Linked DNA regions of Coturnix japonica. The protein of the gene in region 1 binds, or shares a complex with, the protein of each later gene. Links are inferred from orthologs where the notes say so. Each region holds a gene or a part of one and is shown in the gene's direction. Other genes may lie near its edges.

The links.
Region 2: the proteins of OPRK1 (region 1) and PDYN are in contact, whole or in part, in a cryo-EM structure (PDB 8F7W), measured with the Homo sapiens proteins. The link is inferred for Coturnix japonica from reciprocal best matches to the Homo sapiens genes OPRK1 and PDYN. Residues at the interface, in NP_000903.2 of Homo sapiens: Thr111, Gln115, Trp124, Val134, Ile135, Asp138, Tyr139, Met142, Lys200, Glu209, Cys210, Asp216, Tyr219, Lys227, Val230, Phe293, Ile294, Glu297, His304, Ala308, Leu309, Tyr312, Tyr313, Ile316, Tyr320; in NP_001177821.1 of Homo sapiens: Tyr207, Gly208, Gly209, Phe210, Leu211, Arg212, Arg213, Ile214.

Annotation. Positions count from the first base shown.
Region 1 is NC_029517.1:99,604,326-99,608,136, reverse strand, and holds part of OPRK1 (kappa-type opioid receptor), read left to right. Parts: intron 1-866; coding exon 867-1,219; intron 1,220-3,811. UniProt on the Homo sapiens protein: G-protein coupled opioid receptor that functions as a receptor for endogenous alpha-neoendorphins and dynorphins, but has low affinity for beta-endorphins.
Region 2 is NC_029535.1:9,245,465-9,250,065, reverse strand, and holds the start of PDYN (proenkephalin-B), read left to right. Parts: upstream 1-1,555; 5' UTR 1,556-1,683; intron 1,684-3,829; 5' UTR 3,830-3,839; coding exon 3,840-3,971; intron 3,972-4,225; coding exon 4,226-4,601.

The DNA of each region.
Region 1 (3,811 bases):
AGAGAGGCTGTCCTTCATGCTTTGTGTCCATAGCAGAGCTGGCAGTAGCCCTCTGCACCCTGGTACTGAGGCTGTGCCCACAGAGTTAGACTATCATCATGAAGAACAAAGCATGGTCCTGTTTGAGATCATATTTTTCTGTGTAATAAAGGTTCTTGCCACATGAAAAAAACAAATGCTTTGTTTTGATGAAATTAAAGGATGCAGAGAAAACATTGCTATCATGTTTTTTTGTTTTTGGTTTTTTTTTTGTTTTGTTTTTGTTTTTGTTTTTTCCACTGAGATATCATACTTCAATAATTATCATACTTTATATTAGAAATCACGGTAGAGGAGACTGGAAAAAGCTGGAGATAAGAAAGGAAGAGAAATTGGAAATGTAGGAGCAAAGAAGAGAAACTTCTAGAACTGATACAAGATGGCAGTCTGGCCCAGCAAATGTAACTATTAACAGATATTCCTCTAGGGGAATGAAATACCTATTGCTCCTACAAAACAAACTCAGAAAATTTGTAACCACTGACAGCAACAAGAGAAGGAAACACAGAACAATTTTGTCACTTGCAAATGTAACAATGATATTTGTTTGTAGATGTATTTGAGAAGATAGCGTGGAAATCTGTATTTGAATATTTAGGTTTAATTTATTCATTATCTGGTTTTACATGTAGTGGGTAGCTGTAACTCATAATGTAGCTGCTGAGGGACTGAGAGAAGGGTGTTTACTGTTAATTCAAGGGTCCTGAATATGTGCATTTCTGTCAAAAATCTGAAATGATAGCAAAAAAAATAACAACAGCAGACTGGCTGAAAAATTGTTACATACTTGAACATAGTCACATAAACCGTACTTTTTTGTCTTTCAGATATACAAAGATGAAGACAGCAACCAACATCTACATTTTCAATCTGGCTATGGCAGATGCACTGGTTACCACGACTATGCCTTTCCAAAGCACAGAGTACCTGATGAACTCTTGGCCATTTGGGGATGTGCTGTGTAAAATAGTTATTTCAATTGACTATTATAACATGTTTACCAGCATATTCACACTGACCATGATGAGTGTTGATAGATACATTGCTGTATGTCACCCTGTGAAGGCTCTGGACTTCCGTACTCCTCTCAAGGCAAAGATAATCAACATCTGTATCTGGCTGCTGTCCTCGTCTGTTGGCATATCTGCCATAGTTCTTGGAGGCACCAAAGTCAGGGAAGGTGAGTGTGAGAATTCAAACCTGAGACTTTATTTTATTTGACACATTGCTTGGAATACTGACTACAGTTGATTGATTTTGACTTCAGTAATTTGTGCATATTTTACACTTAGAAGATCATTCACATTCCTTGTTTCAATAAGTATACCTAAATTTCTGACATTTCTAAATATGACATATAAATAATTTAAGCTCAGATGTCCTTGACAACTTAAAGAATCAAAAGTACTTTAAAGCACTATTTGTGCTAGACTGAGACCATAAGAAAATAACAACAGACAGCAGGGGGAGATGGTCAGGAATTTGAACATGGTTCAAAGACCAGATGAAACTTGAAATGTAGGCTTAGAGTTCTTTTTATAGGCATTGTGAGAGTAGTTCTGATGAAGTTTCAAGAGCAGAAACTAGATTGCTTCTCATCAGCATTAATGTTAAAGCTTGGGAGCTTTTTGTCAGCAGTCATTTCACAGAACTTAAGGATCTTGTGAAAAAAGGAAGAAAGACAGTAGAAGAAGAGAAAAAAAAAGGTAAGATAAATGCTAAGAAAATCACAGTGTCAGAAATTCTTATTTAAAAAGGAGTTGAGGACATGTATGTAGACTTGAAAAAGGCTGAGAATAAGCATCCGTTGACGAACCAAGAATGCAGAGCATGGCAGGGAAGAAACTACAAGAAAATAAAGTCAATCAATTTGTCCATGGAGCACCTGTAGACTCTACTTAAAATTTATAATCTGTGAAGGACTGCAGATTTAGCCCCTATATCCAGTGACTCATTACTAAATCTGTTCTGCTACAGAGTTAATCTTATTCTGAAATCCTTGAGAAGGGCAGATATATATTCTTCATACCAACAGGTGTACCAGCAATGTGGGTGCAACACTGTGTCTTCAAAAAGCTCAAAACCTTTAACGTATGTCCTGGTGTTGATGACATCCTGTTATGTTTGGCTTCACAAAATACAAGGCATACATATTTATTTAGTAGTAGTGTTGTCTGGGGTGTTTAACAAGTTGCTCATTTAGCTGCCTTTTCCACTAGGAAGTTTTCACTCCTCCCCGGAGAACTGGTAAACTTTATGTAAGGGCACAGTTTTATCTGGGAGAGAAAATTAATGTGGTGTGTTTAACAGTTTGGCATAGATAAGTGCAAACGAAACAATGGTGTTCATCAATAAAACAGCTGCTCAAGGGCTGTTTTATTTGATTGAGGATATTCAAATTTTTATTTTATTTTATTTTATTTATTTATCTATTTATTTATTTATTTCCCTGTTAGTCTTACAGTAGGTGTGTGAGGGGAGAGTGTCTCTGGAAACATCTTTTGGACATCTGGGAGTTCAAGCCTCCCAGTTTGCAGTGCTGTAACTCTTCTTCCCTATCAAGTTCTTTCAGGCCCTATAAAGCCATGTGCAGCTCAGGAAAAAATCACTTCCAAACACAGAAACAATTAAATGCCTTTTTCACACCTTGTGGCAGGTAGATATCTTTTCCTCCTGAAGTAGCTATTAGAGATACAGCTGGGCCAAATGAGGTTGGAAATCATCGGTAACTGTTTGTCAGTCCCTACTATTCATCCCTGCATGTCTGATCTACAGTGCCTCTTGAGCATTTACTACCAGTTATATTTTCTGGTGTGTTCATGAAGTGAACTTGTGCTGAGGCAAAGGGGATCCTCCTGACAGCTGGAGCTCAGGACAGAAACTTTATTTTACATTGGTAACAGTAGCTGCCATTTATATGCTATGGGGCCTCTGTTTGCTTTGGATTTAAACAAATCAACATCAAACAGAAACTGACTATATTTAAAGATTCAAGACCATGCTCAATTAGTCCTTTTTACTCTCACAGTGCAGGATTTCTCCCTGGAGTGTCCTTCCAGATTCATTTTCCTTATATCTGTATAAATTTTTCCTCTCTGGACTTAATGGAGCCTTTATTGCTGAAGAAGCATTTGCTTTAGAAAAGAAAGGGCACCAACGTGACAACTCAGTTGAGATGTTACTAAGATATCTAATAGAAATAAATATCCTGTACAAGGATTGAGATGAATCTTAAGTGGTAGATTATCAAATATTTTAATAAATCTTTATACCAAAGTGCCATCTGAAGTGACGTTTTCTTAAAATATATTGATACATTGGCTTCAGAGTGGACAAAGCACTATAAATCTTAAATGCTTATTTTATGACACTGTACTGCTATACCTAGTTCTGAACTTCAGGAAAGAAGTACCCCAGAAGAACCCTGGGTTTTATTCTTTCCCCAAACACCTGAAGATGATCATGATATTGTGTCTCTGACAGGGATATTTATTGGTCATTGATGTAAACCACAAAGAAGTAAAAGGATTCCATGTGGCATCCGTGTCATTGGGAAAGACAACTTTATTAATTTAGGATAAGATTTATTTTTTTTAATAAAGTAAATTTCTATGACATCTAAAACAGCCATTACATTTATTTTTGATAATTTGGGCTGCTGGAATATCACTGTCATTTATGAAATTAAATAAAATGTAGCAAGCATTGCTGTATTTTTTTTCTGTGAAGGAGATAAAGAATTTCTTTTGAGAATGTTCTTATTAAAAATGTT
Region 2 (4,601 bases), on another chromosome or scaffold:
GGGAGAACCCGGATCTCTTCCTGCAGCAAGAGAGGTGGAGGCACCTGCTCCATCCCGTGCTCTTGGGGTTAGCTCAGCCACCAGGAGCCCCACTGCCTATGGAGCAATCACATGGGGATGGGGATGCTCCAGATGTGTGCTGGGAGCTGGTGCTGCTGCCAGCAGGGCTGCTTTTGGGATGCTCCACACCATGATCCCTGGGCATGATCACCTGGAGACGGGGCTCCCAGGGCAGCTACAGCAGGATGGGAACTAACAGTGCACCAGCAGGAGGTTGGGTTTGGGGGACGTGCAGGGTGAGACAGGAACTGCTTCTACTTTCAGCATGAGAACCCTCTGTGGAACCCCGTGGTGTTCAGTAGTGAGGGTGAAACCTCCTGGGGCTGCCCGCATAGCACTGAGGATGCCACTGTGGTTTGTGGCTGCTTTTTGTTCTCGGCTTTGTTCTGCACCTACAAACCTTCAGCTGGGGGTGAAAACACAGCTAACACAGCTGTCCTCTGCCTGTGCCTCCATGGGGACTGAGCATCCCCATCCCTGCAGCACTGCCACCTCCCAGCACAGCTTCTGCAGGTGACATCCCCTCCATCAGCCCTGGGAGATGCTCGGCCCTTGCTTCACCTCTCCATGCCCTGCTCCTTTAGTGCCTGAGTGAGCCCAAACCCACACCCAGCAAAACCCACGAAGTGCCACGTGCCGTCCATATGTGGCACCCCAAAGGTGGTGGCAGCAGTGCAGGCAACCAGCTCCCAGCCGTGCCCATTCCCCTGTGCTTGGGGAAGGCTGAGCGCAAGCACCACGTCCAGCAGCTGGTGCTCGAGCCGGGGAGAGAGGCAGGTTGCTGGGAAACATCCCTCTTGAGCACCCGATAAAAATAGCTCCGTCTTCAAGGCGAGAGGGCAGGCTGCGCTGCAGCCAGTGGGGCAGTGGGGATGGGATGGGGATGGGGATGGAATGGGGGCAGAGTGCCTTGGTCTGGTGTGTAGGCACTGGGGCTGTCAGGATGCAGTGCTGATGGGGCTCTGTGGTTCATGGGCTGGGGGTTCCCCAGCACTGTCCATCCCCAAATTGGGCTTAGAGATATGTGCCCAGGGTATGGGGCTAAGCAGAGGGTGTAGGAGCTCCCTGCCTCCCACCACCACTCTCCCCCAGCCCTTTTGGATTCGCTTCTTTGAGTTTGCCCCCAGGAGGAGTTTGGGTTTGCCCCTTGCCCTTTGTGTGGCCTCCATCCTCTCCCCAGCTTCAACACAGGGCTGGGGCTTCTCCCAAGCTGGGAGCATGAGGCTGGGGGCTCCCCATCTCCCCCACCTCGGGCAGGGCTCGCATTCAGCACCCAGCAGCTAAGAGAGACCCCCACCCACTGCCCGTGCCGAGGACCCCAACGGGGTAGCAGCAACCAGGGGGCAACCTGGAGCGCTCACACCCAATCCCTGGGGGCTGCAGCGACGGAGCCCACCAGGGCTGTGTCGGGGATGCTGCGGGGCTGATTATTCACAGCTTTCCTCGCCCCGATTGGCTCCGCAGCGCTGAGCGGTGTGGGGCCCCGCCGCAGGAGGAGACTCGGTGGCCATAAAAGCTGGCGGGCGGGCGGCGGGCGGTGAGTTACGGTGCGCACCCAGCGTGGCCCATGCCCAGCTCAGCCTGACCTGAGAGCGCAGCACAGCGGGACGGGGCGCACAGCAGGTAGGGTCGGGGTGCATGGATTTGGGGTTCCCTTCCCTTTACCCGCACGCACCTTGATGCTGGGCATCACTGCTGCTCGAGGGACTGTGACTCAGTTTGTTTCTAAGCGTCCCCGAGCTGCCGTGCTGGGAGCGTCTCACACTTTACTCGTTGCTTTATTGCTTTATTTCAAGACTCACACGTTCGCTGCAGGTGCCCCACTCATCCCCTGGTGGTTTCGCAGCATCGCTTTGCTGGGGCTTGGGGTGATACTGGTGCCATGGCTGTGTGCTCATATGGAGACAGCGCAACCCCAGAGCAAAGCTGAGCTCAGGGGGAGGGCAGGGGGAATGGGGTGGGTGATGGCACAGTGCTGGGTGTGCCGTGATGGTGGTCGAAAGGTCATGTAAGGAGTGGAAAGAGCTGCTGGGAGCGGGCTCTGCTCCTCCACAAGTGTCTGTGTGTCTCAAACTGCCTGGGAGAAACACCTGCAGCTTGGGTGTCTGCACTGCGAGGTGACATCTCAGTGTAGAAATGCTCAGAGATGCAGCGGGTGATGGCTGGGAGCAAAGCCCTCCATGGCCGTGCTGTGCTCTGTCACCTGCTGCACACTCAGGGCTGTTCTCCATCCCTCTGTGCTGGTGCAGCCGGGGTTGGAACCCAGAGCTGTGGTGCACAGACACACCTGGGGCTGTCCTGTGTGTTGGCACCAAAAACCTGAACAGAAAAAGGGGCAGAGAAGGAGTGGCCACGCAGCAAACACAGGACGCAGGGAGGAACCCAGAGCTGCCCTGGTCCCTTGCAGCTCTGCTGTGACCATGCAGACTCATTCCCCAGGATGGATGTTCCAGGCAGAGCTCACCTCAGGGTGCTCCAGGTCTCACGGTCCCACACTCCAAACCCATTATTCTTCCTCTTCCCTTTGTCTGTCCCCTTTTTGAGCATCTCTTTTCACTTTCCTCCAAGCCCTGCTTTACCTCCCCTTTCCCTGCCCTGCTCTCTCCATCTTTACTGAGGTACGTTCACATTGGGTGCATGGAGCACTGCAGGGCTGCAGCTTCCAGGCACAATAGCACAGCCAGCATTTACCTTAGCAGCAGGTGAGTCCTCTCTCCTCGCTCGGAGCCATTGAGATGAGCAGGGGCTGTCAGTGCTGCTGTGCCCATGTCTGTGCCCATCCCAAGGTGATGCACTCGGGTTATGTGGTGCAGCTGAAGAATGCAGATTTCTCGACACACTATGGTGCAGATTATTCAAATTCAAATTTAATTTAGCACGAATTAATACTGTGGCATTAACAATTCTTCATCAGCTCCAATTAGAGTACATTAGCAGACAGCGCTGAAGAATACAATAGTCTCTAATATGCGTCATTAACGTGTAACTGATCCCTCTGGGTCATGCCTTCCCACCTTGGATTGAAGTAGGCGCAGAGGCAGTGGGATGCTGTTGGGTCGGCTCTTGCTCCTGGGATTGGTGGCACTGCGGCCCTTGGGTTCTGCAGGTGTTGCTCAGGGTTCTGGTGCCCCACTCCATCCCCCTGCACAGTGTATGCAGCCCTCCTGGCCTCGTGCAGGGCTCTCGGAGCCTGGAGGATGGTGGTTGCAGCCAGCAGGTAGGAATAAGCCTGAGATCAGCGTTCTCCCCCTCCCCACGCAGATGCAGCAGGTGGGATGAGGGATGCAGGGGACACAGCATGGGGCGAGGCTGTGCTGGAGGTGGGTGACCTGTTGCTTCAGTGCTACCCTGCATCCTGTCTCCTTCTGCTAGCAGCTCTATGTCTTAGCACTATTCTTTCCCAAGGCCAAGGGGAGGGCTGATTCATCCCCTCTGTGCCATGCAAACGTGCGATCGCAATATTGCAGAGAGATGTGATGCTGGAAGGAACGAGAGACTGCCTGCAAATGGTACGTGCTGGGTGGTGGGAGGGCTGGGATGGGGCTTTGGTCCTTGTGCGTGAACCCACACGGGGTCAGTGTCCTGCAGCATCCCTTGGGTCGCTCCCAAATCCCAGAGGTAAGTCAGGTGGGTGCAGGCACAGCTCCCCAGGAGCAGGCAGAGGAGGTAGGTACCTGCTGCCCACCGACGGGCTCTGGGCATGGGCAGATGTTGTCTCCCAGCTCTGTGTTCAGATGGGTGATGCTGTCTGTACTCTCACCCTCCCCAGGCAGCGGGGCATGATGGCACAGCAGGTGCTGGCGCTGGTTCTCTGCCTCTCCCTGGCTGCAACAGCTTCTGCCGACTGTGCAACCCAGTGCTCCCTCTGTACCAACCAGGCACGTGGCACCGAGAGCAGCATCCAGCCCCTGGTGAGTGTTGGCCCCGAGCAGCCCCCAGCATTCAGCACTGAGGTACAACAGCAGGGACAGCTCGGGGATGACACAGGGTGGTGGTGCATGGTCTGTGGGTTGCTGTCACTGGCACCCAGAGGTTCTAGGAAGGCACAAAGTTTGGCTCCTTGTGAGCTTGGCAGCATGAATCCAGGGGATGGGATGGCGACAGATGGGGTGGTGGTACCTGATTGCTGGGTGATGCTGGTGGTGCCATGGCTGCTGTCTTGCAGATGTGCCTGTGGCAGTGCCAGGGCTCCTCTCCGCCCGGTGCTGAGTGGGAGAGCTGCAGGAAGGCGCTGGCACTCCTGGCCCCGTTGGTGGCCCTGGCTGAGGGGACAGAAGGAACAGACCCATCCCCAGCAGAGGTGGAGGATGAGGCAGAGCCAGAGCAGGATCCCAGCCCTGAAGAGCTGCCGCTGGCACCAGCCAAACGCTACGGAGGCTTCATGAAGAAGCTGGCCAAGGGGAGGCTGCTGTCCCTGCTGCGTGACAACACCCACAGCAAGGGCAGCCTCAGCAAGAAGTCAGGGGGCTTCAGCCACAACCCAGGGGAGCGGGCAGCCCCTGAGAACTACCCAGGGCTGGGGGAGGGTGAGGAGCCTGAGG